Linked DNA regions of Arabidopsis thaliana. The protein of the gene in region 1 interacts with the protein of each later gene in a pairwise test. Each region holds a gene or a part of one and is shown on either strand. Other genes may lie near its edges. The genes, in order: SAUR19 and AT1G26660.

What was found.
Region 2: the proteins of SAUR19 (region 1) and AT1G26660 interact in a two-hybrid assay, tested with the Arabidopsis thaliana proteins (one large-scale study listed by BioGRID).

Annotation. Positions count from the first base shown.
Region 1 is NC_003076.8:5,962,193-5,965,587, forward strand, and holds SAUR19 (SAUR-like auxin-responsive protein family), read right to left. Parts: upstream 1,214-3,395; 5' UTR 1,114-1,213; coding exon 841-1,113; 3' UTR 581-840; downstream 1-580. UniProt on the Arabidopsis thaliana protein: Provide a mechanistic link between auxin and plasma membrane H(+)-ATPases (PM H(+)-ATPases, e.g.
Region 2 is NC_003070.9:9,210,104-9,214,029, forward strand, and holds AT1G26660 (Prefoldin chaperone subunit family protein), read left to right. Parts: upstream 1-1,660; 5' UTR 1,661-1,782; intron 1,783-2,192; 5' UTR 2,193-2,194; coding exon 2,195-2,286; intron 2,287-2,401; coding exon 2,402-2,506; intron 2,507-2,737; coding exon 2,738-2,839; intron 2,840-3,116; coding exon 3,117-3,224; intron 3,225-3,378; coding exon 3,379-3,433; intron 3,434-3,590; coding exon 3,591-3,662; 3' UTR 3,663-3,772; downstream 3,773-3,926. Other genes in the region: AT1G26650 (Son of sevenless protein), read left to right, coding at 232-1,239.

The DNA.
Region 1 (3,395 bases):
ATATATGTATATTCAGCGTAACAGATACGTATCAATAAATCATTGAAGAAAGGGATCGGATCCAGTCCACATCAACCCTAACTAGTGCGTGTCTCTATAGTTTTCCTTTTTGGGCAATGTATACTTGTCTTTATTATTTGGAAGGAGAAAGCAATGTTATTTATAGAATAAAATACAAACAGAAGTTTGGAATTCAAAAGTAAATTTCTTTTCCTTTTTGCTTGACAATATCTTGAAAACTATAATCAAATGTCACTGGAGACATCAACTAAATGTAACCCCCACACTATACGTAAGAGCCAGCCACTGATAAATTGTGTAAGTTAAAAGTGGTCATTTGTTATTTGTTTCCGTCTAATTCAGAGTAGCAAACAAATACTAAAACCGGATCTGAAATTCTCGGTTAGAGTAACAAGAATCCCGAACCGGGGGTAGTGCATCAAAAGGCAAAAATTGGAAATAAGCAGGTAAAACAAAAAGATATCCGGAATAAAGTTCGGGGGATTGAACCCGACGTGAATCGAACACGCAACCTTCTGATCTGGAGTCAGACGCGCTACCATTGCGCCACGGATCCGGATGTTAGATGTTCCACTTAATTGTTTTTAATCAACATGAAACTATAATTAGAGTAGTTTTTTGATTGATGAATTTGGTGTCGTCTTTCTTTTTCAATGAGCGATCAAAAATGTATTGACATGAAGTTTGTATATAACATTAATTTTGTATTTCACTTTCTACACTTTTAGAACAACTCTTTCAAGAAGAAAGAGAAAAAAGCTCATGTATTTACAATGAATAAGTCTATTTCTAACTGAAGGAAAAAATGTTGGATCATCTTCATTGGAGCCGAGAAGTCACATTGATGAAAGTATCTTCGGGACAAGGGATCGTTAAGCCACCCATCGGATGAGCAAACCCAAACTCTTCTTCGGATTTACTGAGCAGAGCTTGAAATGACGGTTGGCTCAAGTATGAGAGCGGCACCAAATATCTCTTCTTCTGGCTCTCTCCTACGTACACCGCAAGAAACCCTTTTGGTGCCGCAGATCCTGCTGCGGTGGAGCGGCTTAGAATCTTCTTTGCTCCCAATAGACTTCTCACGAAAGCCATTTTTATTTTATTTTAAATAAAAGAAGTTTGAATTATTATGAAGCTCTTGAAGATGTATGAAAAGATTCAAGTTATTGGAATGCTTGTTGTTGGTTGATGATAGAAATAATGGGGTTATGGGTGTATATATAGAAATATCAATGAACGATTTGAAACTTCTCTGAAAAAGTCATTGAAACTGTGGTCTTGAAGCGTGGGACAGACTAGAGCAAGAGTTCACATGGTTCTGTCTTTACCATCTGGAAAAGATGCATTAATGAAATTTATCTACTTAAATAATCTCCATGTGAAATTTCACAAGGGCTTGCTTTCTCAATGTTTCTGAGATAAGACGTGCCCTATATTTGCAAGAACAAAGACAGCAGGTTCTGTGATGATTAGGTGGTTGGTTCTTTGTCCTATAGTACTCTAATCTCTGCAGTCGAAATGGATTTATTAAGAAGTTAAAGTGGGGACCTGAATGTTATTCAACAACAGAACAACAATTCAATGTCACTCTCTAGTTGTTCTTTGATTATATCCACACATGAAAACTAAAAGAGACTGAATACCTCACTTCTTCTCTTCATTTATTATACAGACATGGAGAAGACAGACCCTTGTGAAGTGATGATAATGCTCATTAGCTTCCGTTGTCAACTTGTCATCTATCATACCTAAAAAACAGAACCATGTGAAACTATCTTTGTGTATGTCTCACCCCTACTTTGAATGGTTTCAGGGTGATTTGAAGTCTTTTATCAATCTATTTATACATCCAGAGACAGAACCAACTCTTCACCAAGTAGTGAAGCAATCCAGACCTCAAAATTTTGAGCATCTAACTTTTTCTCAGAAGCTTCAAATTTAGATTTTCCAGACTCAAGAAATGGCTTTGTTCAGAGGCCTCTTGAGTTCAAAGAAGATTATCGGCTTTTCTGTAGAGGCTACAAGCAAAAGGACAGTTTCAACACCTATTTTATGTAAAACTATTATTTTATGAAAATCTATATTTGGAATATAACCAAAAATGTATATCAATATGATCCTGCATAGTAAAGACACTCACTTAATAACCAATTTTTTTTCACTTTCTCACATCTTAGAATTGATGTTTTGAGAGTTTCGTATACTACAAGAAACCCTTTTTAGCACTCCCTGAGCGAATTTAAAAGCCTCTCGGAAATCTTCTGAAACTTGTGGATGTAAGAGTGGACACATAAGAAGAGAGTTTAGATGGTTTTGTCGTCCAGATGCTAACGTGATAAATGAATGTGGATACAAAAGACGAGCAACGATAAGCTAAACTAGACTTCATGAGGGTTTGAGTTCGCTACATTTGCTTGTGGTTCTTGGTTGTGATTTCTCTGGTTGCTTTTGTCGTACGTCCTGATCTTAATATTTGAAGAAGGAGACGTGGCTCACTTGACAAATGCTAGGAACAGACCAGTCTCGGGTTTTACGGATCTTATGCAATAGTCTGCATGCAGTATCCAGTATCCACATTAATTGTTCTATAACATGTTATGATAGTAAAACCATAGGAATGATCACAAATCATGACAAGAAAAGCCTAAGGAAATCAAAGAAGCTTAATATCGCATAAGTGATTAATAGCATTGAGCCATTAATGATCTTACAACAACAAGAGTCTCTCAATGTTATTTGGGAAAACATCGAGATCATTGAGAGAATCGAGTCTGAGCCCTTTAAGTCGTCTATATAGGTCATTTGCAATTCCTTTAATTTTGGTTACTCTAATACTCTTTCTCTTTGGATCAAAATACACCACATGGAAGGATTCATACACACTCATTGGCGTATAAACAAACTCACCAGCATCAGTAACACCCTTCAAAATTAAACACGCCCATTCTTTGTCAGACAGAGGAAAATTCAAAGACATAAAGAGACATATTTCAACACCAACGGCCATGGAACAAGGCCACCTACACCATCATCTTCACAACCTTGAGCTTCTCCAAAACATTTCTCATTGGATCTCATGATAAAAAGCCAGAGAAGTAATAAGCAAATGGCTGGCAAGTTCTGTTCTTGATTGTGATTCTCTGCTTGATTTTGTCCGTTTTTGAATATGAATAAGCAAACGTGGCTCGCATGAAAAATGCTAGAAACAGAGCAGTCTCTGTTTATACAGACTACAACAATAGTTTGCACTATCCACATTGTTATATAACATGCTGGGATAAATATCTTGAGATTAAGGAATAATTACAAATCATTACAAGAAAACCTAAAGACATCATCAAACAATCTCAAAATCTAATAAATGAATGATGAAG
Region 2 (3,926 bases), on another chromosome or scaffold:
TTGTGCCACCGACAAAATTGGAAATCTTACATTTTTTGTTTTCTCTAATCAAAATTATTGTTGGAACGTAGACAAGATCCGTTCCAAGATTCGTCTTTTTTTTTCAATTTGATTCCTGGGTTATCTGAAAGATCTTCTCTTTGCTTCGATTTCTATCTCCGCTGCTTGTGAAATCAACCTTTATGGTATGTAATCTCGAACTCAGCTAAAACACACTTCACTCTCGGAAACATGGAGACGGAAACGAATCAGGTTTTACGGAAACCGGAGCTAAAATCATACAGTCACAAACAATTTCACTCCTCAAATGCGTTAGAGATCTTAAGAGAAACAGTTCGAATTCTCCGGTACAATCTTGGTGCTTTAATGTTAACTACTGCTGTTTTGATCTGTCCTGTCTCTGCTTTGCTCTTACCAAACTTTTTAGTTGATCAATCATTAGTGAATAAACTCACAGTGAAGCTTCTTTTAGTGGCGAAATCAAGTGGTCTTCCTTTGCAGCCTTTTGTCAAACATTCTTGTCAGAAATTCGCTGAAACTGCTGTTTCGTCTGCAATGTGTTTCCCTGTGTTTATCACTGTGTCTCTGTTGTCTAAAGCAGCTGTGGTTTACTCAGTGGATTGTTCTTACTCGAGGGAAGTAGTTGATATAAGCAAGTTCTTGGTTATATTGCAGAAGATATGGAGGAGAGTTGTGTTCACTTACGTTTGGATTTGCATTCTGATTGTTGGTTGCTTCACTTTCTTTTGCGTTCTTCTTGTAGCAATCTGCAGTTCCTTCTCTGTTCTCGGCTTCTCTCCAGATTTCAATGTTTATGGAGCTATGCTAGTTGGTTTAGCCTTCTCTGTAGTTTTCGCTAACGCGATTATAATCTGCAACACTGCGATTGTGATCTCGGTTTTGGAAGATGTTTCAGGGTTAGGAGCATTGATGAGAGCTAGTGATTTGATCAAAGGGCAGATTCAGGTTGGTTTGTTGATGTTCCTTGGATCAACTTTAGGATTGGCGTTTGTGGAAGGATTGTTTGATCACAGAGTGAAGAAAGTTAGTTATGGAGATGGCTCTTCGAGGTTATGGGAAGGACCTCTTTTGGTGTTGATGTATTCCTTTGTGACACTTATAGATTCGATGATGAGTGCAGTGTTCTATTTTAGCTGCCGAGTTTATTATAGTATGGAAGCTTCTAGAGGTGAAACTCAGCCAATCATGGAAACGGTTACGGTTGTGGATGCTGAGTAATGGTGCGTTGTGCGGATCAAACTCGGTGAATGGACATGGAAACGTATTAGCTGAAGAAGAAGTTGTATATCATCAAATGGGGTTTTATTGAGCACTTTTTGTTTCACTTTGAAACTTGATGCATCTTTAAGGTTTTTGTTATATATGGTTTCTCTGTTTACATTGTTTGAAGATTATATAGCATCCCAAGTTCGTTCATAGTTCTGCTCTTGTTTCTTTTTAGCCAGTTTGATTGAGTCTTGAAAATCTTGGGCGTAAAATAGTAAAATTAAAAAGTAGGTGGGCCTTTATGCAAGGTAATTATATTACAAAGGACTTGAAATTAAAACCAAAAGTAAGAACAAACCGGTTCGCATGGTTTAAATAATCTGTGCTCGAGCGGTCAAATTGTAAAACCACCAAATAATTCTTCGTCTCCCTCACCGTCGCGGCGTCGCCACTCGCCGTCACAACCACCGTCGTTCAACATCACTGTCACCAAAAGAATCACCGTCGTTCGGTCGTGACGTGTCTGGACCTATTTCATCTCTTTGCTCGTGACTCGTGAGTCAAATACTCTTGGACCTTTGCTGTTATCTGTACCTCTAATTTTGTGATTTTCAGATTCCTTCTCGTTTATCGAGTTGGATTCTCTGTATTTGAATGTATTTTTGATAGGGTTTCGTTTGGAAACCAATTTGATTCTCATATTTAAAGTGTAGTTACGTGGTTTGTGTTCTCTCTTGGGGATGTTCACCACCTGTTCGATGAAATGCTTCTACGTATTAGTTTGATGCAATTTCTGTATAGTTTCGACGCTCTCCGAGCTTGTATTTAGATATTGATGGTTAGGTGACTCTAGATTCTGAAACGAACATTTCAAGGCTCTAGAAACTTATTCTGGACTAAGTTTATCAAATAAACAAGGGGATGGTTAGAGCCTTAAGCTTGATATGTTTATGTTCGCATTGCAGTAATGGAGGAGGGACGTCAAAAAGACTTGCAATTGTTGGAGGAGATTATCGACAAAGGTTTGAAACAGAAGCTTGTACATGCAACTGCTTCACGGTATTTATATTTACTTCCTTTTCAGATCAAAATTAAAATTGTGAGTATGATATTAAAGTGTATGTAGGATTAGTTTAGTTTGTTTTCTTTGCATGCTATTCACTTTTTGTTTGAGGTTTCGATTCATTGTGGTCTCTGCATTTGTTGGTTTTGCAGGGACAAGATCTTTGAAGAACAAAAAACACTGTATCCTTTTGTATAGGGAAGACTCTAGCTTCTCGTGATGTGCATCATCTTGTTAAGCTGATCCTAAGTGTTTTGTTAGTTTCTCCCATGTCTTAACCCTATCAAAGATGACGGGTTCATTTACCAGTCAGTTTTTGACTTAGTTTTGTGTTTCTAAATCGAGAGGAACTCTTCTTGGTGTAGTTATTGACAATACTTTGCTGTTCTAGTGAAATCTAATTCGGTTGAAATATTCTTGTTTCCTTGACGGTTACTCCCACTCCAGCTCTGACTTGCGGAAAAACCTAGAAACTCTGGAGAAGAATGGTGTAAATAGTCTCAAAACAAGGGTCAACCTTGGTTCAGAAGTTTACATGCAAGCTGAAGTGTACGTTACTTATAGCTTTGGTTCTTTCGTTTAATTTTAGTCAAGTCATTTAGCTATGAAAGGTCATGCATTGTCTGCATACAATGAAATACACTGTCTCCATACACAGCTTAATGCAATTAAGAAGTGTGCTTTTACTGTGTTCTGTATGTTAGAAGCTAGTTATGTATTATTGAGCAGAAAACGTTTAATAAATGGGGATTAAAATAGGAGATGCTTTCTACCAGGTTTGCTTCTGATTTCGTTTCACTTGACTTGGGTGTTTGTTTGAGTTCAGGCCAGATACTCGGCACATATTCATGGATGTAGGCCTCGGCTTTTATGTGGAGTTCACACGGCAAGAAGCTCTTGACTATATAGCACAAAGGGAGGAAAGAACTCAAAAGTAAGAGAAATCTTTGCTTTTCTAGTTTTCTTGCTCCATGTACAAGGAAAATATGGTTGTATCATTGTATATGATGAATGAGTTCTCCGGTGGAATGCAGTATAGTGACTGAATGTTGATGCAATATAAATGTGGTTTTTTTTGTTTTTAACAGACAACTAGAAGAGTATACTGGTGTTATTACGCAGATCAAAGGGCGCATCAAACTGGTAAGTTCAAGTTCTTATCTTGCTTTGTGATAGTAGTCAATCATTTGTCTTATGAGGTTGAATTGGACTAGAAAATCACTATTGCGTAGGAACCCTGCATCAGACGGATATATGAAAGTGTCATCGGATAAGTATTAATGTTAAATTACCATTGCAGGCTCATTACCAGATTCAGCAAATACTCAATCTTCCTGAAGAGAATCCGTCATCCCGGCAACGTGCGTTTTAGTACACTACCTAGTGGAAAGTTGAGGATTTTCTCTTGCAGTCTTATCTTCTCGATTTGTTCTGCTTACTGTTTTGAGTTTTTAAAGCAGAGAATTAACTTAGTTTGTTCAATACTAACTCTTTCTCCGGAATGGACCAAACTGTTGGTGTTAGATAAACATATCGATTAAGCAATCAAAACTTTATAGAATGACTATTGTTGTGGGGGTGAATAGTGAATCGCACTCTGTTAAATCTGCCATTTCTATTTTAAATATTAATAATC